Linked DNA regions of Arabidopsis thaliana. The protein of the gene in region 2 binds, or shares a complex with, the protein of the main gene of each other region. Each region holds a gene or a part of one and is shown on either strand. Other genes may lie near its edges.

Evidence for each region.
Region 1: emb2394 (region 2) and RPL27 share a complex: the UniProt entries of both Arabidopsis thaliana proteins name them as parts of the 50S ribosomal subunit.
Region 3: emb2394 (region 2) and RPL15 share a complex: the UniProt entries of both Arabidopsis thaliana proteins name them as parts of the 50S ribosomal subunit.

Annotation. Positions count from the first base shown.
Region 1 is NC_003076.8:16,406,331-16,413,732, forward strand, and holds RPL27 (ribosomal protein large subunit 27), read left to right. Parts: upstream 1-4,451; 5' UTR 4,452-4,535; coding exon 4,536-4,838; intron 4,839-5,137; coding exon 5,138-5,239; intron 5,240-5,323; coding exon 5,324-5,515; 3' UTR 5,516-5,784; downstream 5,785-7,402. Other genes in the region: FLA20 (putative fasciclin-like arabinogalactan protein 20), read right to left, coding at 326-1,600; AT5G40960 (transmembrane protein, putative (DUF 3339)), read right to left, coding at 6,415-6,621.
Region 2 is NC_003070.9:1,498,686-1,507,699, reverse strand, and holds emb2394 (Ribosomal protein L6 family), read left to right. Parts: upstream 1-3,846; 5' UTR 3,847-3,961; coding exon 3,962-3,996; intron 3,997-4,438; coding exon 4,439-4,738; intron 4,739-4,848; coding exon 4,849-5,185; 3' UTR 5,186-5,449; downstream 5,450-9,014. Other genes in the region: GLR3.4 (glutamate receptor 3.4), read right to left, coding at 1-171, 250-1,583, 1,707-2,058; AXR1 (NAD(P)-binding Rossmann-fold superfamily protein), read left to right, coding at 5,925-6,010, 6,103-6,275, 6,370-6,533, 6,786-6,896, 7,021-7,100, 7,215-7,368, 7,451-7,544, 7,721-7,809 and 5 more. UniProt on the Arabidopsis thaliana protein: This protein binds directly to 23S ribosomal RNA and is located at the aminoacyl-tRNA binding site of the peptidyltransferase center.
Region 3 is NC_003074.8:9,489,437-9,497,138, forward strand, and holds RPL15 (ribosomal protein L15), read right to left. Parts: upstream 3,220-7,702; 5' UTR 3,123-3,219; coding exon 3,039-3,122; intron 2,968-3,038; coding exon 2,604-2,967; intron 2,312-2,603; coding exon 2,160-2,311; intron 2,066-2,159; coding exon 1,832-2,065; 3' UTR 1,619-1,831; downstream 1-1,618. Other genes in the region: AT3G25910 (MAP kinase kinase kinase, putative (DUF1644)), read left to right, coding at 400-1,518; AT3G25930 (Adenine nucleotide alpha hydrolases-like superfamily protein), read right to left, coding at 3,596-3,656, 3,749-3,861, 4,026-4,117, 4,237-4,435; AT3G25940 (TFIIB zinc-binding protein), read left to right, coding at 5,668-5,785, 5,878-5,918, 6,132-6,200, 6,286-6,342, 6,432-6,506; AT3G25950 (TRAM, LAG1 and CLN8 (TLC) lipid-sensing domain containing protein), read left to right, coding at 6,920-7,675.

The DNA of each region.
Region 1 (7,402 bases), on a different chromosome or scaffold from region 2:
CAATGGTTATGACTTATGAGTGCAGGCTCCAATACTACATACAGAGGTTCACGAACATGGTTTACGTCCACAAATACGAGCAACCTCACAGGCTATGAAGAACAACACTGATTCCAGGTACTAACTACCATCAACCTCAGAGACCAATATCGAGCCAGTAACATTCACCAAGAGAGTCTAAATTCACAACTTTATATTCATTTTCAAACTAAAGAGGTTCTCATTGTTAACAACTCTGAACAGATTCGAGATTATGAAATAAGAGAATCAACACTGATATGAGTATCTCTCTACATTGCTGTTGAATCAAATTGTCTTGTAGAAATCAGTGAAGACCATAGTCACCTAACTCAGAAGAGTACTCTCCATGAACACCTTCTTCTTCTTGTTCTCCATTGTTTAGCACTGTGATAGAATCTCCCACATCCACCTGTTTCTCTTTTGTTACAATCATCTGATTAAAGCCATGAACAGCAATCCAATCGTTGACATACAAATCTGGATATATGAGTGGAACTCCATTGAGAAGAAGTATATCACCGGACAAAGAAATCTCAATCTCATACCCTTTAAGAACAGTCTGCAGAATCGATCCTTCCTTAGCAAATTTCTGAAGATCTTTCCATAAGAGAAGTTGACTGACAACATGTCCTCTGAAAATAGTAACGTAATCGGAGAATTTAGTAGTTGGATTTGGAATTGCTTCGTCGATCGGAGCAAAGACTGTGATCTTCGTGTCGTTTCCTGAAGTATTATCTTCTAATTGCAGAGCGAGAAACGTAGCTATAATCACGAAACCTCTCGACATTAACAATCTTGAAGCCGATTCAAAGATGTTGAAGCGATTCACTGGTTTAGATCTATTGGGAAGATTTCGAGTGGAATCCGAAGCGATATTAGGACTTGGAGGTGTTTGAGTCGCTGAGCTAGGGATAGGGATTGAACCAGTAGATGAAGTAGTGCTTGGGATTGAAGAAGAAGATGATGAATCGTCGGAGATTTTCGTCGGTGATGTGAAAAACTCGTCGGATCCGTAAATCACGACGTATCCGTCGTCAAAAACAGGAGAATCTTGGACTACGACGTTGTTGATCGAAGTTTTACCTCCGAATCGTGAAGAATTCGTGACGGTTAGAGAGTAATTAGATCTGAGAGTAGGGATTTTGGCGCCATTTGGGAGGTTTCTTAAGGTTTCTCCTGGGAGTCTCGTCGGAGAGAGCTGGTACTTCATATCGAGAAGCGAAGGTTGACCAAACTTAGAGAAAGATTGATCAGAAGGTGCGAAGAGGGTGAGTTCTTGCCAATCTTCGAGGTTTAGATCTTGATTCGCGAGCTTTAGTGTGAGTCCCATGGATAAGTAGCCGGAATCGGAAAGAACTTCCACGGCGGATGAAACAGATGTCATAGAAGTTGCGACGAGATCGATATCGAGAACGAAAAATATGAGGAAGAAGGTCGTTAGAAGCTTCGACGCCATTGATGCGTTCTTCGAGCTTTTTTTTTCGTTTGGTTTCAGAGAAAAGCCGTTGCAGAGGAAGTTACAGTTTTTATAGTCCGTCCTATTAAGAGAGGGAAAATATTTACTGGGCTTTTTATTCATAGGCCCATGTGTTTTTTTGTCAACAGGCCCATATGTTTTTTTCTTTTTTAGTTTTCAGTTTTTCACATTTTCCCTCCCGCTTCTTTTTCTTATTTCCCTCTCTAAAAACAAGAAAACATTTTTACATTTTCCCTCCTAAATCTCCAAATTTTCAGAATAAATATCTCAATTACAAATCCATGATAATCCACACAACAATAAACACTCATCGATTAAATCTTCTTCACCGGAAAAAATGCCTTCGATGCCAGAGGAACCAATCCTAACACCAACACCAGATCGATTCTGTATGTTCCCAATCCAATACCCACAGATTTGGGAGATGTACAAGAAAGCCGAAGCATCCTTCTGGACAGCCGAAGAAGTCGATCTCTCTCAAGACAATCGCGACTGGGAAAACTCACTAACCAACGACGAACGTCACTTCATTAAACACGTCCTCGCCTTCTTCGCCGCATCAGACGGAATCGTTCTCGAGAATCTCTCAACTAGATTCATGTCCGATGTTCAGATCTCAGAAGCTCGTGCCTTCTACGGATTCCAAATCGCGATTGAGAATATTCACTCCGAGATGTATAGTCTCCTTCTCGACACGTATATCAAAGACAACAAAGAGAGAGATCATCTTTTTCGTGCAATCGAAACCATTCCTTGTGACGAAAAAAGCAGAATGGGCTATGAAATGGATCAACGGATCTCAAAGCTTCGCTGAGAGAATCGTAGCGTTTGCTTGCGTTGAAGGTATATTCTTCTCCGGTAGCTTTTGTTCGATATTCTGGTTGAAGAAACGAGGTTTAATGCCTGGACTCACTTTTTCAAACGAATTGATTTCGAGAGACGAAGGTCTTCACTGTGATTTCGCTTGTTTGATATATAGTCTTCTTAGAACTAAGTTTGATGAAGATCGTTTGAAAGCGATTGTTTGTGATGCTGTTGAGATTGAGAGAGAGTTTGTTTGTGACGCGCTTTCTTGTGCCTTGGTTGGGATGAATCGTGAGTTGATGAGTCAGTACATTGAGTTCGTTGCTGATAGGTTGTTGGCTGCGCTTGGGTGTGGTAAGGTGTATGGTGTGACTAATCCTTTTGATTGGATGGAATTGATTTCGCTTCAGGGTAAGACCAACTTTTTTGAGAAGAGAGTTGGTGAGTATCAGAAAGCTTCTGTTATGTCTAGTGTTCATGGAAACGCTGCGTTTAATGATGATCATGTCTTCAAGCTTGACGAGGATTTTTAGATTTTGCTTACTTGCTTTATTTTTAGTTTTGTAATTTTCAGTATAATGAAAAACAGATGAAGTTTAATTTGATAATGGACATTTAATTTCTTAATTATTTAACATAGTTTTTACATGGTTAACATATAACTAATCCGGATCCTAGTAATTACATGGGTCTACCCAAATCCAAAAAGGATTGGAGCCAATGACTTTGCTATATATTTCGTTCTTAAGAACATTGCTAGGTTTCTAGCTATATTGGTTTTGCCTCTTTATTGGCAGAGGGAGCACAAAGAGAATCCTCCCCTTTCGACATAAAAATGTTATTTTCTCATGGTCTTTTGGATGATTAGCAAGACTTACTCTTAAGTTTTTGCATAAGTATCTTACATCACTTTCTAACTCAACCTTCGAAATATGCATTTGTTTCAAACAATCCAGTGTTCATTTCCAAGTAGGTGTAGTGACTTATGATAAGAAAGCATGTCGATTATGGTAAAAATATTTTAGTGGCTGTTCACAATAATTCTATGAGAGAGAATCATTAGTAGGCAAATTGAATAGGAAACAGACATGATATCAAATTCTTTTGAAGGCAGAAAGAAATGAAAATATAGAAAACATAACTAAAAGAGAATAAACAACCAATTACCATTTACCGTTCCAAAGACCTTCATCGTCGAATTTCAAGAACAATGAAGGTCTTTGAAAGATACTTTTGTCAATAAATATGAAAACCATAAACAATTAGTAGAGATGAGAGATCACTATAACTCTCCTATGACTTTCCATCCAATCAAAAAGAAAAGTTTGTGTCCATGTCTCTATAACTCTATCCAACTTCTTTAAGATAAGATCATTTTCTCGCTTATTACACCAAGTATACAGCGGACCATGGGATGATAGGTCTCAAACAAAGCAATAGTTTACCACTGATTGAAAGTCTCTCATTCCATTGGTATAATAGGGTTGTCTTCAGCTCTAGAATGCTCCACAAGTTCTAAAATCTCATTAAAATCTCCAAACATTATTTAAGGCTTGCTACTAATGACAGGAGAGTCATAGTGATCTCTCATCTTGTTCATAATACTTTTTTCTCCTCTAACCAACTAGACAGTCTATGAAACTCAAATAATATAATTTTTAATTTTCGGTCAAAACTGTAAAAACATGTCAAAATCAAATAATATTTTTTTTTTGCCAAATCAGAAAATTACATTTTTCCGCCAATGTAAAAATAATTTTTAGAGTGACATTGTCAGTATAAATCCTAATTTATGTTTTAATATTATAGCTAAAGTCTATAATTATTTTTGGCTGCTTCTTGCATATTATTATTCTAAGTTTGGTTTTTGTTTTTATCTGAGAAATTTCTACTATATAATGAATATTTGAAACTGTAGTCTATATATTTAGATTTAATATTTTATACAACAAGTTGATATGGCCGAGTTGGTCTAAGGCGCCAGATTAAGGTTCTGGTCCGAAAGGGCGTGGGTTCAAATCCCACTGTCAACATTCACTTTTTTCTCTTTTTCCATTATTTACTTGCTGACGTGTACTCACCTTATCTTACATTATTTGATGACGTGTAATTTTAGTGGTCACTAATCGAGAGAGTGAGACGAAACGATAAGGAGAAGAACTTCTTCTTCAACCTCAGAAAACCCTAATTTCTCCATTTCGAAACTCCAACGAATTCTCTGGTGATTTTACCAATGGCGATGGCAACATCGATGAGTTTGAATCTAATTGGGGCATTCAAAGGCTTGTCTCTTTCTTCGACTTCGTCTTTTCTTAGAGGCGATTTGAGTTTTTCCCCCAAAACCTCTTTCACGGTGACTCTTCCTCTGGAAAATCTTCAAGCTCCGATTCCGTTGACAATTGAATCGGCCCATAAGAAAGGAGCTGGTAGCACCAAGAACGGTCGTGATTCTCCTGGGCAACGACTCGGCGTCAAGATCTACGGTGACCAAGTTGCTAAACCTGGTGCTATCATTGTTCGTCAACGTGGCACTAAGGTAACACTTAAGAACACAGAATTGTTGAAATTGAGAACCTCTTAAGCTCCTCTTTCAATTCTCTTCTAATTTCACCGCAACTCTGTCAATTTGGTCAGTTTCTTATGGGTTTAGCTCTCAAGCTCTGTTTTCAGATTCCATTCTCGAACACATCTGGGTTTAGGATGAATTTTCGTATTTAGTAGCTCTTGTTTCTGATGCCATTGCCATTTCTCTGGAAGTTCTACGTTATGTTTGTGTTTAGGATGGAACTATATTGTTTGAGAAGATTGATTCATGAATGGTGATGTTTGGTGCAGTTCCATGCTGGGAAAAATGTTGGGATTGGTAAAGATCATACCATCTTCTCTTTAATCGATGGATTAGTCAAGTTCGAGAAGTTTGGTCCTGACAGGAAGAAGGTATACCTGTAGTTATACTGAGTAAGGTTTATAAGCTTTCTTAATCTTCTAGGATGTTAAAGGAAATGAGACTTGTTTTTGCAGATAAGTGTGTATCCAAGAGAAATTGTACCAGAGAATCCCAATAGCTACAGAGCAAGAAAGAGAGAAAACTTCAGATTGCAAAGGGAGAAGAAGAAGGCGAGACGCGAGAATTACTCGTACACACTTCCTACACCAGAACTTGTTCTTGCATCTGCCTCAGTCGATGATGCTGAAGCCAATCCGGAGTGCTAGAAGATTGAATGTGGAGTTTCCTTGTCTCTTTTTGTTTAGTCTTGTTTATGAAAAATGATCCTTTCAGAGTATTAAGAGTTGGTTGTATTGTCGAATCCAAGCCTCTCTTTTGTCAAATTGAGTCCCAAGCAGGCGGATTTTTACCCAACTTGAGTTATTAGTGTAATCAAATGGTTATTGTTAATTAGTCAAAGCCTCAAAGGTTTTAATTTAGTGAATTTCTCTTCCAACTTAGTAATTCTGAATCATTGATAAGAGAGACCACCAAACCTTTGAATGCCCCAATTAGATTTAGTCAAGTATAAATCTAGTTCAAGTGTCTATTTGAGGTTTTTTTATTATAAAAATTATAAAACTTATTTGGATCCCAAAAATGGATCCATTGTTAGTCTAAGAAGCCGAAGACTTTATGGGCCTTCTAGCGAAATAATGGGTTTTAGCCCAATTACTTAGCATTTCGGAATATGTAGATAGTGGTACAAAAAAGAAATTGAATAATATTCATTTTCGTCTATCATTGCATAATTAGTGGAATGAAATTATTATTCTATGTTTTTTTTTTTTCATTTATCTATATCTTGCTCATCTTGAATCCATCAATTTCGCTAACGTTTTACCTGTACCATATTAGATCCTTTGTGTTATCTTTAGGCCATATTTCACCAGCTTGAGGTCAAATACTTATACACATGTATGTAACGATATATATATGTAAGATGACGATATATTATTGAATAACACTAAAGGCCTAGAGCAAAAATAGTAATTGATGAGAAGTTTTAAATTCTAGGAGCAGTAATTAAGAAGAAGAACAAAGACAAATCCTAAAACAAAGCATATCAGTAGTAAAACCTTGTAGCACAAAGCAGAGAGGCACATACATGAGTGTAATAAATGAGCTATGCATAGACATGGACGTTGAGAACAACGAGAAAGAGGATAAGAAAGAGACCATAGAGAACAGTGTGAACGAAAATAGAAGCTACCGTCGTCTTCATGTTCATGAAACCCACCGGAGATTCTTTCCCCGGAAACTGCAGTATCAACCCTGGCGACAGAAACGCGAACAAAGCCGAAGCTATCAACGGTGCAGCCCAATCATGCATCTCTTCTTACAAGAACAAGAACAAAAGAAAAAGAAAAAGAGAAATGGAGAAAGAAAGAAGAGAGTGGGAAATAGGTTTGGATGGGTGAAAAAGGAGATGATGGAATTGTGAGAATGAGAATCTGATAAAGTCTAGTTCTTTACAATTAAAGGAAGAGAGAGATTTTTTGGAATTTTGCTTTAGGTGAGGTGTCTTAATTTAATCGTAATTGGCTATCGAAGGAGAGTTTGAATTTGAAACGATTCTAGCTTAAGCATATCAAATGCTCGATTGTATTAGAATAAACATGGTTTGAGCTGTATATCTATTCTATGCGGTTTGAGCGGTTTGAGCGGTTTAACCAATTTACGTGGTGCAGTTTTGCCTTTGGAAGAATAACTTTCAATAATATAATTGTACTCTGTTTTACAATTAAGCAATGTAAAAACAGAAGAAAAATAAACAATGTATGTAATTTGTAGAGAAACGGTTCTATGTCACATTCAAAATCCTATGTGATTCACATGAATAGCGACATATCTTTCGGTGATCAATAAATGTACACGCCACTTTTCGAAATACGTTTGGAGGAATTTTGTTATTTTATTACTTGGAATGTATTCTTGATTAGTAGAATTTGTTTGACTTGAGAAGACTAAATTAGATTACAAGTAACGGGTCCACCACTTGCTAAGCGACCAATATATTCCGTAAGAAGAGAACAATATTTCTCCACTTTTTTTTCCTACTAAAAACAAAAATTCAACTTTTTTATATAGTTATTGTACACTTTTCATATCTC
Region 2 (9,014 bases):
GACAGCCCACATCTCTATAGTGAATGGTTTCAGGAATGACCAAGGACTAGACTTGGCCTCCTTAACCGGAGCCACCACCACAAGCCCTGATTCTATAAACGGTTGTGTGAAATCTACATATCTTGTTCTGTTTGTGACGATTGTGATATCTCCTACAGCTACATCAAAATTCTGAAGAGGAAACATGAGAAAAGACAGGTTAGCATCTTCTGAAAGTTGTGAACTTGATTGAGTAATGTAGCTACTCACATCCGCAACAACTTCATTGACGAGGTTATCATAAGAAGGATTTCTCTTCCCGTCTCCATATAGTATATAAGTACGTGGAACAGGATATGGAAGCAATTCAATAGCGGCTTCAAAGACATCAATGCAGTAGCCTCTAACGCCAGGCGGGTTTTTATCCTTAGAAACGTAATCTGTATAGCTCACACGGTTAGGCACCCCGATTCTGAGCGGTTTTCCATTATTAGGAAACACCCAACCACGAGGAGGCTTAGTTACTTCTCCTGGATATATGATTCCTTTAAGACGCTGGTTTGCTGTAGATGTGTTTGGAGGCCTAGAGTACAAGGTCTCTGGATGGACCACAGAGAGACCCGAATGATTTGACCAGTACCCGACTGTGCGTGGAGCTGTACCTTCTAAGTTTAGAACTTCATAAGCCGGATTAACCCGGTTTCTATCTGAATCAAACTGGATTGGACCCGTCACACCAGTATGATTCATCCCAAGAATGATCTTCATAAACTTCTCTCCTTCATTGAAAACACTTAGTGCTGATAGCTGAATAGTGCTACCATTTGTTTTGTGCAGATTTGGATCGTTGGAGAAAGTTATGTTATTGTTTTCTCTGAAGAAAACATCGAGGGCACGAGCAACTAACCAAACAGAATCATAAGCATACATCGCATAAGAGTTAAAGCCATCATTTGGTCTAAGATTCTTCCATCTCGCCATAAACTGTCTTTTGACACTACTCTCGATTGTGTAGTGGCGAAAAGCAACCACTCCTTGCAAGAGATCCATCGTGTCTGAATCCACGTGCTCCATGGAATCCATAGCTGTAGGAAGCCAGTCTGTTGCGATCCAAACATAACCACTTGCCATCATTCCAAGAGATTTAGCCACAGAAAAAACGTTTAAACCAGAGTCAGGATTCACATGGACAACAAAAACCCGAGATTCCATCAGATTAACAGAAACCAACAAGTCTCTGATGGAGCTAGAATCTGCACCAGGAGTAATTGCAGCCTTGTAAGAGATCCTCGAGCGTTTCTTGGCTAATACATCGCCAAGGACAGATATCCCGTTCCTGCCACACTCATCATCAACGAATATCGCAATGACTTGTCTCCATCCGGAATATGATAGAAAATCTGCGATCGCATGCATTTGGAAGTAATCATTCTGCGTGGTGCGGAGGAAATAAGGAAATTGCAGAGAGGAGAGAGTCGGATCCGTTGCTCCAAATGACAAGAGAGGTACATGAAGCTCATTAGCTACATAGGAGATCATGTGAGCAATCCCTGAAGATTGTGGACCAATGGCTGCAACCACTTTGTTTTCCATCAGCTGCAAAGCTACACCATAAGATGAAACATAATCATCACTCATTCTTTGGGGGCATTTTCACAAACTAGTTCTGAGTTAAAAAGTTGGCCACAGTAGTAAGAGAGAAGAAGAAGGAGAAGCAGTATATATACCTCCCATGGTGCCGATAAATCCACTGCAATTTGAGTCTTGAAAGATGATATTAAGCTTGATGCCCTTAAGAACACTTTGGTCAGCATTAACATCATCCATAGCTGCTTTAACCGCGGGTTTAGCCGCTCTTCCGATAAAAGAATCATAAGTAAACAGAGCTCCAACATTCACAGAGCTTGGCCTCTGTCTTAATGGCCGCAAAGAAGAAGAAGAAGAAGAAGACGAGTTTCTAGAGAAATTACTTCTACAAGCACATTCCTTTGGAACAACCCACAAGACAGAAACACATAACAACACAACTCTGATTGCTTTCGCCATGGAAACTTCTCTTATCATCACCAAAAATCCCATCTTTATCACAATTTCCAGCAAAAGCACTAGTTTTTCTTTGTCCTGGTCTCATATAACCATTTGATTTATTTGGAGTAACACCTGCGAAATAAACAATGCCCAACCTGAATCAAAATTGAGATTATAACAAAAGACAAAAAAGATGGTCCAGAAATCTGGTGAAAGAAGGCAAAACCAACCAAGAAATCGGGAGTTAGATTCTGTAGAGAGATTGGTGTATACAGATTTTTGTGTCTGTATATTTATTTATAGTGTATAAAATAATGTATTTATATGAGGCCCTTTGATTCTAGAAACTGGTGCTTTACATGTGCAAGTAAGAACTGAAAATAATGAAGTGTAAGAGGGCCGTCTTAAAGATGGTTCGCAGAGAAAGAAGCAAAAAGTGTAATAAATAATTCAATGAACAAATAACTAAAGATTATATATGTAAGAACATAAAGAAAAACAAAAATTAAAAGATCCAATTGAGAAAAAGAAGAAGCAACCTTGGAATAAATACGAGAAACAAACTTTAATCAGAGATCCATAATCTTCACAAGTAAACGAGTGATTTAGCACTAAGCATAAAGAAGAAAGACAGAGAAAAGAAGTCGAAGAAGCAGAAGAAGAACTGTTTCTGAGCTCAAGCAAAGAATAATTCATAATATTCTCTCTCCTTTTTTTTCCCTATTTTCTTCCTTATCATTACTTATTTTTTTGGTATTTTATGAAATTTTGTAAATTTTGTTTTGGAGTGCTATTTCTGGAGTGGTCAGTGAAGACGTAGGCCAAGGTGTGGGGTAGTATGATCGATGCTTTACTTGTGTCCTCATACTATTCGATAAATCAAATTTTTACGTTGGCTCTTATTGGTAACTATCATTTATTAAGGTAGTTGATGCATTTTTCTTTTTGGTTACAACGGATATAGTTAAATGGTAATTAGGGTAACTACGTATGACATGAGGCAAAATAATAATTGAAAATGTGAATGTGAGGAGTGACGACCTAATTGCTCCAAGGCCGCCTTCGTCAAAGAATAAGTCTCCTCAACGGTTGTCAAATCAATTTCACACAAAAAAAAAAGAAAAGAAAAAGATATTTTCAGACATAAATAGTAAAGTAATTGTACTATTGATTTCATATGATAAAAGGTGCATGAAACACATGGTCGACTATTTTTTGTCTTTAGAGTGTTCATTAAGGAATGTTATTAAAAAAAACTTATAAGAGCTGCATTTGTTATTACATAGTTCCTTATTGAAATTTTCATTTGTTAATTGTTAACACAAAATAAAATATGCCACTGAATCCACAAATATCTTGTCGGTATCGAACTTTTTATTTATTTAGAACAAGAATATCTTGACCAAATGAAATGTGAACCAGGAAAATAAATATACAGTTCATCTTTTTTTTCTTTGAATCTTCTCAATTTGTTGTTTGGATTTTTCTGAGGGTAAGGGCCCATTTCATTTTTAAATTTGTCTGTTAAGAGTAGTTTAAAATCCATGCCTTTAAAAGATTCGACTTGAAAACATACTTAATCGGGAAAGATGCACAATTTTGATCCAAACGCATCTACTAATAATCTATTGACTTCATTAATCTAATCCAAACTCCACGTTCATTGGGTAAATTTTGTGAACAGTTATTATAATAATGGGCCTAGAAACAGTGAGATAATAGGCCATGATCAATATAGATAAATGGGTTACACAAATAATGAATTGTCCCACAGAAGGATGGTTAAAAGTAATGGGCCGAAAATAGTGAGCTAATGGGCCGTGAAAGTAATGATTTGAAAGAGGGGATTACAGAAGCTGACGATGGATAAGTCTTTTCTGGATAAAACGCTCTTCTTCTTCTCTTCATCCTCCTTCTGGAGCAGAGCTTAGAGCTCCATCATCAAATCTTATCAATGGCTTCCTCACTCGTCTCATCTTTTCAACCCAGGTACTTTTCATATACTACAAACCATAGAGCTTCTTCATTCCGCTAGGGTTTCGTTTTCTTTACTTGGCATTTTCTACTCAAAAATCTCTATAAACTGTGTTCATGAGCCTCCCAAGTATAAGGAATCTCTTTGAATGGGTTATTTTTATCTTTTTAAATCGATGGCAATGTTGAATTGGTTATGGACTCTTGAAATTGTGGATTTTTATTTTGGGAATTTGAATGTGTTATGCGGAACTCACTGTGTAAAAAGCAGGATTCTAGAGGGGTTTTTAGCCATGGAAACTGAAAGTTCTACAAGAATGTTTCTCTTCCTTAATCTAACGTTATCTTTGTTCCAATAACAGTTTCTGTGTATTGGTTTAGATATATATCTGGTAGAGTTTTACTTTCTTGACATGTTTTATCTGAAGATAGATAGATAACTTCCCCTTTGTTTTAGGTCAGCATTTTTGGGAGATAGAAATGTGTTCAAGGTCTCAAGCACACCTTTTGCTCAAGTGGGTTACTCCAGTAAGACCATTGAGTGCAAAGAATCAAGGATAGGAAAGCAACCGATCGCTGTACCTTCCAATGTAACCATTGCATTGGAAGGTCAAGACTTGAAAGTGAAGGGTCCATTAGGAGAGCTGGCTTTAACTTACCCACGCGAAGTTGAGCTTACAAAGGAAGAATCCGGTTTCTTAAGGGTCAAAAAAACCGTCGAAACTAGAAGAGCCAACCAAATGCACGGCCTTTTCAGGTTACAAACTTCTCATCTTTTCTTGTCATCCAATGAAGTCCTTAACTTTTTTGAGGTTAAAAGATCGTTTGTTCTCTAATCTTTTTTTTTAACTTCTGTGTGACTTTTAGGACGCTTACCGATAACATGGTTGTGGGAGTATCAAAGGGATTTGAGAAAAAGCTTATACTTGTGGGTGTTGGTTATCGTGCAACAGTAGACGGAAAGGAGCTGGTGCTAAATCTCGGGTTTTCACACCCGGTGAAGATGCAGATACCGGATAGTCTGAAAGTGAAAGTGGAAGAGAACACAAGAATCACTGTGAGTGGATACGACAAGAGCGAAATCGGGCAGTTTGCTGCAACGGTTAGGAAGTGGAGGCCACCAGAGCCATACAAGGGGAAAGGAGTCAAGTATTCCGATGAGATAGTTCGGAGGAAGGAAGGAAAAGCTGGAAAGAAGAAATGATCTTCATTTTTCATTATTATCTACTTACTTATCTCTTCCTTTCAATGTTTATGTGTATTTGCTCAAATTTGTTTAGAAATGAAGATGTTTGTGTTGGGATTCTTGAGTAAGTTTTTAAAGGAACCCATTAATTGTTTTTGATGCTCTGACAAAAATTTCTTTAGTGCTTTGATTGAACAAGAACTTGGGCACAAAGTGCCTCATCGGTGTGATTCTATTGTTATGTTTCCTTATTGAACCAAACCAATCCAAATCGGACAAAAATCATGGTAGATAAACTTTTTAAAACAATTTTTTAATCTATTCTTCTTTTTTTTAATTACAAATTTTCTTATTTTCTTATATCTAAAAAATCGTAACAGTAAGATATTAATATCTGTATTCTTAATTTGGTAGATAACTTTTTAAAAAACGAAAATTTCCTATAAGAATAATAATAGTCGGAAATAAAACAAAAAACAATATCATGGTGATTATTCTTATTTGCTTATATCTTCTTCTTTTTCACAATTTTTTTTTAAAAAAAATATTTACAAAATTTTCTTATTTGCTTATATATATAAAAAATCAGTAAGATATTAATATCGATTTTTTAATTTGGTAGATAACTTTTTTCAAACGATAAATTTCCTAAAAACAATAAAATATTCGGAAATAAACAAAAACCCTGATTGAAGAAAAGTCTTTTTGTTTATCAGTTCACCGGAGGCAAAAATCGTCTCTCGCTTGAGCTGCGAAGATGCAAGCAGTAAAAAGATCCAGGAGACATGTTGAAGAAGAGCCAACAATGGTAGAACCTAAAACCAAGTACGATCGTCAGCTCAGGTATACATACTCTTTTTCCTTAAACTCTACTTCGAACTACTCTTGTCGGGAGGAAAATTGATGAAGTAGTAATCGTTGGGTTGACTGATTAGGATTTGGGGGGAGGTAGGTCAAGCGGCCTTGGAAGAAGCGAGTATCTGTTTACTCAATTGTGGCCCTACTGGTTCCGAGGCTTTGAAGAATCTCGTACTTGGTGGTGTTGGTAGCATCACCGTTGTTGATGGATCTAAGGTTCAATTTGGTGACCTTGGGAACAATTTCATGGGTACTGACTAATTTTGAAACTTTTTGATTGTGTTTCTTCTGGGGGTTTTGGGGGACTTGCTTGCGTTATGATGATTTTTTTTTTTCATGTGAAGTCGATGCGAAGAGTGTTGGCCAATCAAAAGCCAAATCTGTTTGTGCGTTTCTCCAAGAGCTTAATGATTCTGTTAACGCCAAGTTTATTGAGGAGAATCCAGACACGTTGATTACTACTAACCCATCTTTCTTCTCTCAGTTCACTCTCGTTATAGCCACTCAGGTACCATTGTTTTTCTATTTGTAATCTTCTCTAATGATTTGTGTGTTACAATTTTTCAAAGTTCTAATCTTTGCTTACACAGTCACTCACCATGGATCATGATACCTTCTATTCAATGTTCTTTAGTTAGTTTCTCATATGTACTTTTCCTCGTCCTCTTCACGGGATATTGCTTTATTAGGCTTCTTTTTCCTGTGTTATTGTTATTTAAGTTCGTTATTTCATCCCCTTTTCGACATTGATTGGTTGCAGCTGGTGGAAGATTCAATGTTGAAACTTGATAGAATCTGTCGAGATGCAAACGTTAAGTTGGTTTTGGTTCGCTCTTATGGCCTTGCTGGGTTTGTTCGCATCTCTGTAAAGGTAATTAATACCACCTGTCTAGACCCAATTTGTGATAAAGTTTAGATTACTTTGTGGTATGCCGTGGTTAGGATATTGGCCAATGAGAATATATGCTAAGCTCTCTTCTTTTCTTTTTTATCAGGAGCACCCCATAATTGACTCAAAACCTGATCATTTTCTTGACGACCTCCGCCTGAATAATCCATGGCCTGAACTCAAGAGGTCCACTGCTCTCATATCCTCTCACTTTATGTTGTTCTGGCATCCTTTAACATTATGGTTGTGGATGGACGACTGAGTACTTACTGATATTCTTAATTATTTAATGAACGGCAGTTTTGTGGAGACCATTGATCTGAATGTATCAGAGCCGGCCGCTGCACATAAGCACATACCTTACGTCGTCATTCTTGTAAAGATGGCTGAGGAGTGGGCTCAATCCCATAGTGGTAATCTTCCCTCAACCAGGGAAGAGAAAAAAGAGTTTAAGGTTTAGTTCTTTTTTGTAACTTATAAAATTTATTAGCGAGCTTGCTTTCTTGTTTTAATTATCTATATCCTTGAATTCTTAGGATTTGGTTAAGTCCAAGATGGTATCTACGGATGAAGATAACTACAAAGAAGCCATTGAAGCCGCTTTCAAAGTTTTTGCTCCTCGAGGAATCAGTAAGTAGATATCTTGTTTGGTCTAGGTAGAAACTTGACTTAGAATGTTTACTGTTTCCATGGTTGAGTTAATAGGTGTAGCGATTGTTGATATTGGAGCTAAACTAACAGAAAGCTCTGTCACGGGTCAAATCACAGTATTCTTCATGTTGAACCAAACCTGTTTTCTCTTCCAGGCTCAGAGGTTCAAAAATTAATTAATGATAGTTGTGCTGAAGTGAATTCAAACTCCTCAGCTTTTTGGGTGATGGTAGCGGCTCTGAAGGTTTGAAACTTGAAACCTGCTCTGCCAGAACTCATAATTTTATGTTCATTTAGGAAGTGCAAACTGCAACTCATTTTGATTGAAATCATAATCGTACATAACCACCTGCAGGAGTTTGTTTTAAATGAAGGTGGTGGAGAGGCACCCCTTGAAGGTTCTATACCAGATATGACCTCTTCAACAGAGTTAGTGCACTTGCCTCTATGGCACTGAAATTCACCCTCAGTCTATTTTTCACATTGGTTATGTAGCTGTATGGTTTCTCTTTGCAGACACTATATCAATTTGCAGAAAATCTATTTAGCCAAAGCCGAGGCTGATTTTCTTGTCATTGAGGAACGAGTTAAAAACATTTTAAAGAAAATCGGTCGAGATCCGAGCAGCATCCCAAAACCAACAATCAAGAGCTTCTGCAAGAATGCAAGGAAACTTAAAGTGAGTATACTAAACTTCCTAACATGTTTAATTTGTTTTCTAATGTCAACGTTTTACCTATTGCTTGTTTACTTTTTCTTCGGAGCATTATCAGAAACATATGATTTGAGTAAAGCATAAACCATAATCCGTCCTTTGTAGTTGTGCAGATATCGTATGGTAGAGGACGAGTTCAGAAATCCTTCTGTAACTGAAATTCAAAAGTATTTAGCGGACGAGGATTACAGGTGCGAATTTTCCCTTTTCATATGAGTACAAAAACATCAGATGATTTGAAAGATGACCTTTCTACAAAATGTTCACTCTTTTGTCTGTCTCATACATGCCATAAGATGTTGTGATTGAATATTGCAGGAGCATTTTTTCAAAACTGCATAATTTACTGTATAAGCTATTCATTTAGTTGACCTGAGCTAACCAAACTTTTTAGTTCATCTTAGGCTTACACAGCAGAAAAAATAGATTCTGGATTTAGTTCAAAATTTTTCTAGGCTTGCATGTTTAGCTCTTATACTTAAATATTGTTACTGTCGCAGTGGTGCAATGGGATTTTATATTCTTCTTAGAGCTGCGGACAGATTTGCTGCCAACTATAACAAGTTTCCTGGGCAGTTTGATGGGTAAGAAATTCATTATGGCACTAAGCTTAATCTTTATTTTTGAACAATGGGTCCTTGTTTGGCTATTAACATGCAATACATTTTGGTAGAGGAATGGATGAGGACATTTCTCGATTAAAAACTACTGCCTTGAGTCTTCTTACCGACTTG
Region 3 (7,702 bases), on a different chromosome or scaffold from region 2:
TTTCTCCAACATTTGCGTTTACGATTCTCACTTTTTCTGCTTCTATGAATACATTTTGATCTGGGTTTTTCGTTGATTGAAGTATTAGCTGATCCGATTTGACAAAGTTTGAAACTTTCGTTGCTTAGGTTAATCTCTTGACTAGACTTTTTATCTTGCTTCTGTTTCTCAATCCGATTAGGCGATGAACTCAGGTTTTGTGCGATTGCAATTTGTATATATGACTATTGAAGCTTATCATATAGATCTCTTGCTAATCTTGGTTTTTAAGAACTGTATTCCTCTTTCAGGCTTGTTACTAGCATTTACAAATTTTCAGTTTGATGTTGCTTATGAGAAGGTTACTTATTGCAGGTTTAGCCTCCTGGAGGTTACTTTGTTTGTTACTAGTTCCAAAACATGCCGAAAGAGAGGAAAGAACGGTCCGTATCTCTTGATAAGTATAAACGATCGCCACTGTGTTGTGAGGCAAGCCTTGCTTTGAAGCCGAGTGAGAAACAAGTTAAGGAATGGGAAGAGGCTCGTTGTCCTGTTTGTATGGAACATCCTCACAATGGGATTCTTCTCATTTGTTCTTCTTATGAAAATGGTTGTCGACCTTACATGTGCGACACTAGCCATCGGCATTCTAACTGTTTCGATCAGTTCCGCAAAGCTTCTAAAGAGAAACCTTCTTTGTCTTTACTTCGTGAGGAAGAGGAAAGTAATGAACCAACTGAGATGGAAGATGTGGATTCAGACTCAACTGCTGTAAATCTATTAGGAGAAGCTGCATCTGAGATAACAGTTGTGGATTTAAGTGATGGTGAGAGAGGAGAAGAAGAAGTAGAAGAAGAAGAAGAAGAAGTAGTAGTAGAAGAAGAAGAAGAAGGAATTGTAACAACAGAAGAAGATCAAGAAAAAAACAAACCACAAAAGCTTACTTGTCCGTTATGTCGTGGACATATAAAAGAATGGGTAGTTGTTAAAGCAGCTCGATGTTTCATGAACTCAAAACATAGAAGCTGTTCTTGTGAGACTTGTGATTTCAGTGGAAGCTATTCCGATCTGAGAAAGCACGCAAGGCTTCTACATCCAGGAGTTAGGCCATCAGAAGCAGATCCAGAGAGACAGAGAAGCTGGAGGAGGCTAGAAAGGCAGAGCGATTTAGGGGATTTACTTAGCACACTCCAATCTTCTTTTGGAGGAGATGAAATAAGTAACGATGATGGGTTTCTATTTGCTGATACTCGCTTGCTTACAGTGTACTTTCTCATCCGCGTGTTTAGACCAGAATCGAGTGGCTCAAGGAGTAGTAGCTGGTCTGGTACATCTAGAGCTAGGACACATACAAGTGGGAGAAGAAGATCTTCAAGACCTGCAAGTCTTTGGGGAGAGAGCTATGAAGGTAATACAGGAACATCACCTAGAGATGAGGAGAATAATCAATCTTCTGATGAACAAGTGTCTGGAACTCGGAGACGTCGTTCTAGAAGAAGAACTGTCATTGATGATGATGATGAAGAAGAAGAACCGTGATGCTCTGCAGTTTGGAAATTTGGTCTTTGGAGTTTATGATAAAATGGGGGAAACCTTGTAGTAATAACCCCACTTATGAAACCCTATTATGTAAAATTTCTTTGGAGATTGAAAAAAGTTTCTACTATTGGGAAACAAAATGTTCAATATTTCATTACCGTTTAAATATCTTTTTGATAATGACTCTTCAAACAACAAAATGTAAATCTCTTCACCATACAAAAAGACAAAGGAATTGTAATTAACATTTGTCATAGACAATTATCTTCTCTGCAGCTTTACAACACTAAAAAGAGCTTGAAACTGAAGTAATTTAAGCAGAGGCTGCTGGCTCTGAAGTTGCTGCTTCTGCTGCTGCAGCTCTCTTCTTGGCAAAGTATTCATCTGCTCGTGCTTGGTTCTTTGCAACAGATGGCTTAACCCATTTCTTTCTTCCCGGCAACACAGTGAGTGTACAACCTGAAGCTTCAAGCTTCTCTTTTGCTTGTGTTGAGAAGGCACGAGCTTTGAAGGTGAGCTTCATGCTTAGTTCTCCTGTACCCAGAATCTGAAATCCAAGACCAATCAAAACGTTTAAATAAAGAAAGAAAAGACGAAAGCACAATCGAAAGAAGTAGGATCAACAAGTTTGGAAAACTAACCTTAAGAGGGAGTTTCCTTTCTCTCCCTGAAGGATTAATCAAACCCTTTTGCTTCAATGTCTCCAATGACACTTCATCTCCCTCTTGAAACCCAGCTGTTTCTATGTCTTTGATATTAACCGGTAAGTATTTAGGTAATCCTGAACGCATACCTGTTTAAAGAACACAGTAACGCAACGATGCATCAGAAATATATCTCTATTGGTTTGAGCTAATTAGCAAAATCGAACCATGAAATATCTCTATTCACTAACTACAATCTTGATCCATAGTTGTCAATTCATGGCTCTCTTACCCAATATTAAATCTATGAAACAAATGTGCCCTAACTAAATAAAACTGAAAGCAGCATCACCAAATTTAAACAGAGCCTTTTGGATGAGACATTTCATCGAACATTTGGGCTACACAAAACTTGGATACCAAACAAAAACAAAACTTTACCTCCAGCGATTCCTCTAAGTTTGGGAAGACGACGATAAAGAGCAGTTTGACCACCTTCAAAGCCTCTCATAATCCCAGGACCCGATCTTGATTTCTGACCTCTCATACCAAAACCACAACTTGCTCCTTGTCCTGCAGAGATACCTCTACCTTTTCTCTTCTGCTTCTTCCTCGAACCTGGCTGTGGTCCAAGATTATCCAAACGGAATCTCTCCGGAGCTACAACTGCCGACGACGTAGCCGCCGTTTGGCTAACCACAACAAGGGGTCTCGCAAATTGCTGTTGGTTTCTCGTTTTAAGGGTTTGGTTGAGTTTCAGAGATAGAATCTGACTTGGGTTTGCCCCCAAAACACTTACATTTCCCTGTACACATTTCAAATTCCAATTTTACGGATTCATTCAAAATTGACATTTGTAGAAGAATGAGAGATTACCTTGAATGAAGTAGAAGATAAGTGGAGACGGTAACAATGGCGGGAGGTGAGAGGATTTGATGAGATTGAGAGTGGAGTAGCCATGGTCACAGGGAACAACAGATGAAACAAAGCTTCAAGGATAAGGTTGAGGAAGATAGATAGAGAGAGATAACTTTCTTGAGAAACTTAAGAGTTAAACGACATCGTCTTACATAATCACTTAATTGTTTATTGGGCCTTTCACAGCAAATTTAGGCCTTTTCGTTTTCAATAAAAGAGTCGTTACTCGTTCGTATCAATTCGTTTGTGTCCAAAGTGGGTTTTCAGATAAGCTCATGTCTGAATTAGTCGGGATGATCAAGACACCAGTGCCAATAAAAGAAACGATAAGAAATTATAGTATTTATACTAACTTGATATATATAAACACAAATATTTATACACATAACACAATTATAAGTTCAAACTACAACCCCAAATCAACACCTGAAACTACAACCCCAAATCATTACACAATCTCAATTAACCACATAGAAAATTATATATATTGGTGAATTTTGTAACTTCCTTAATCTTTAATCTTTGCGAAGTCTTTTCTTCACGACAAGAAGAGAACAATCTGTATTTTGTGTACACCTGCATTTAATTAAAAGATGTTTGTTATCTCAACTTTTCCATCAATACTAAGTTTTTTAACTGATATTTTGAAATTAAAAGATGTTTCTTACTTTTTGAGACTTTGTTGATCGCTCGTAACTATTAAATTGATATTTCGTTCTTGAATTATCTTGCGGATTAGATCTTTAGGGTCTCCATCATCAGTAAATGTCTCTGCCTTGATCTGTTTTCAACATGATTATGATGAGATCATGAGACTAAAATATTGCAACAAATGGTTGTCATGAAAAGAACTTCATTTTTTTCTTTTAAAACTTTGGTATTTAAAAATATATATATGATATTGTATTAATAACAAGTTAAATGATTCAGTCAATAGATTATTACCCCATGATTTAAACATATCTTCTTGGCTTTCTCTAATATACCCAAAGCAATTTTCATATTCTTTTCTTGAGCCAATCTTATGAGTTCTGAATCTGCAAAACACACATAAAAACTGATCAATTTTCAACAAAAGAAAGTACTAGGTGAAAATGGATAGAAAATTTGATATTTATTGAAAACTCCCAACAAATTAGTCGATAAAATGACTTACTAGGTGAAAATGGATAGAAAATTTGAGCAAAGCCGACTGATGAAGAAAGTACGGTAGGAGGAGTAAAGGAATTTTGTGGCTGTTTTGCAAAGATATAAACTTTGGAGCTCTCAATGGTATCTTTTTGGTTTTCAAGTGCCCAAATGAGTAAATCATAACTTGCGTTGCTCTCGTCAATAATCAGCATAACATTCTTCATCTTCTCTCTTTGTTTCTTCTTCTCCTTTCTTCTTCTAGCTTCTGCTAAAACCTCTTGTCAATGTGCAACTTTATAGTATATTTGGAAGTGGATTAACTTGTCAAAGGAAGTAATATAAAAAAAAATCTTAGGTGATTGGGTAATTGAAAGGCATGGGTTAACGACTTGATTCTGGCTTCTTCTCGTTTGCAAAATAAAATAAAATTATACACACAAGTAATACTATATTAAACCCGTGTGTAGTGGCAAAGTAGGTTTGGATTAGAACCAAAAGCGTAAAATCGCTATAACTTCAAGTTCAATCCCACAATATGCAATCATTTAAAGAAATTACATAACGATTTATAGTGATTTAATCTCCATGTTATATCACTTGATCATTTAGATTTCGGTTCAGATTCTGCTTAACTTGTGATGAGTTTGCGGAAAACGTTTTACTGAAATTTTCAAAAGACTAGTCATATGCTTATTCAAATTAGGATAGAGACAATGCTAAGTCTAACAAAAAAACATTTGTATATCAAAAAAGAAAACAATCGAATAATATGATCTCATTCTACAACATATTACCAATTCTCCATTGAAATATTCCATTAATAAAATGGTGTGAGTGGACCGGTGTTTGGTAACTGCCGGATACACGCCATTGATGACATAAAACATTATTCTCTTTGTCGGAATTTTTAATCATAATTAAATATCATTAGAGAGAGTTGGTAAAAGAAAAGACATAATTAGCTAAACGGGCTAAAATGAAAAGTTAATGGGCCAAACAGACATATATCCAGCCCATTATAATCTCTGCATCTCCTACCTCTGAATCCCAAAAACCCTAGCGATTTTTTTCTTCTCTCCCGAGACGCTCTGTGATAGCGAAAGCATCTGTTGTAATCTAAGGTACTCGATGATTCTCCTTTTCCATTTTAGTTCTCATTTGAAGTATATAGAACTGTAAAAATTTGTTAAAGTTATAATTTTGGGTTTTAACGGAATTTAAAGTCTCGAACTTTCGATTCTGAGTATGATTTTGATGCTCATAGTACTACTCTTGAAATTTTAGATGATGTTAATGGAGATATTTAGCTTAAAGATGCTTACTTTACTCATCTGTTGAGCATAGGATCGTCTTAATCTTTTTACTCATTACTTGTAAATTTCTTCAAGCAATTGAGACATGTAGAGATGAGTTATGTTTTTTTCTTTTTTGGTGTCATTGTGTTAAAGGTTCTGTAATGGAGAAATCTAGAGAAAGCGAGTTCTTGTTCTGTAATTTGTGTGGGACTATGCTTGTCTTGAAATCAACCAAGTATGCAGAATGTCCACATTGCAAAACAACACGGAATGCAAAAGGTTTTGATGAATCTTTCTTGATATCATCAAATCAAAACAAAGTTTTTGTTTCTTGGTTGGTTTAATCTTATTGCTGTGCTTTTATCGTTCAGATATCATCGACAAGGAAATAGCTTACACAGTTTCTGCTGAGGTATGCATCATACATTTTGTTTCGGTTTCATGGAGTAGCAAAAATCTCTCTGCTCTTGATTTGTGTTGTTAGTCAATTGTTATTAGGCTTATGAATACACACACACAGTAGAAAACCAGTTCTGTGCTATGTGATTACTTTCAGACCTGAAAAATGGATGACTGTTTTGTTATTCTTGCAAGAATATTTCATCATGATCTTTGCTTTTGGTAGGATATCAGAAGAGAACTAGGAATATCATTGTTTGGTGAAAAAACGCAGGCAGAAGCTGAGCTACCAAAGGTTTGTTTATACGAAACAGATTTTTATGTACGTGTTTTTTTCTGAATCCATGACTTGTAATTTTTGATGATACTTCTCTTTGCAGATCAAAAAGGCATGCGAGAAATGCCAGCATCCTGAGCTTGTATACACAACCAGACAGGTATAGTCCTCAAGCTTTTTGATTATGTGGTTTCAAGTTCTTGTCTTCTTGTTTCAATTTCAAAGTAAATGTTTTCATCGGATTTGCAGACGAGATCAGCTGATGAAGGACAGACAACATATTACACTTGCCCCAATTGTGCTCATAGATTCACAGAAGGTTGATGTTTCCATCATTGTGATTCAGATATTCACAGAGCATACCAGTTTTGTTTCTTACATTAATGTTGCATATTCAATGATTCAGTGCCATCATTAGAACCTTATGTATATGTAAACCAACTCAATTTTGCAATGTCATGTAGTGTTCTTTAATCTTACTTATTGACAAATATTATCACTTTAATACGAAAAGAATATCCAAATAAGCACCAGAGCAAAACTTGTAAGCACGCTCACTAATACACTTGCACGTCAAAACTAATCTTACTCCTTAATCCAACGGCTACAAATCCGTTGACTACGATGACTATCGTAGATGCACTGTACATTATCACCACACCAAATCATTCCCACCTCTCAGTTTAAAAACCCAACTTAAACATTTAAACCTCTCAAACAGTTTCAAAACAAGAACCATGGAAACGGCGTCGTTTAATCCTTCGTCTTTTCTGGCTACTTTCCCGTCGTTTCTCCTCCTCTTCCTCGCCGTATACACCATCGGCTATTTCCTAGTTTTCCGTACATGGAAACAATCATCACATTTAGGCGCTAGCTGCTTAATGTCACTCTTCCACGGCACTCCCGCCGTTATAATGGCTTCCCACGCGCTGCTCACAACTCCACGCGCCGACGTACACTCATTCGCTTCTCCCAATACCGCCGTGGAATCAAACGTACTCGACTTCAGCATGGCTTATTTCACCGTTGATCTTCTCCATTACTTAATCTTCCTCCCTAACGACTTCATCTTCATCCTCCACCACATTGCGACCCTATACGTTTTCGCCACGTGTAGATTCGCCGTCGGTCACGGAGCTCACGGGCTTCTCCTCCTCTTGATACTCGCGGAGGCGACGAGCGCGTGTCAGAACGTCTGGACGATCACCGGGTATAGAAAAAACGACGTCGCGTTAGCGAGGAGAGTGAGAGAGCTTTTGTCTCCGCCGTTTTATCTTTTTTATACTGTGGTTCGTGGATTGGCTGGTCCGGTGGTTTTGTATGATATGGCGACGTTTTACGGTAGCGGTGCGGCGGATGGAGTGGTTCCACGGTGGGCTTGGTTATCGTGGCTTGTTGTGATTGGGTTTGCTATTTTGGTTAGTATTTTGTGGGTTTTACGTAATTGGCTTGATTGGTTTAGGGAGAATAACTCTAGCAAGAAATACAAGTGAATTGTTTAATTGATAGATTCTTAGCAA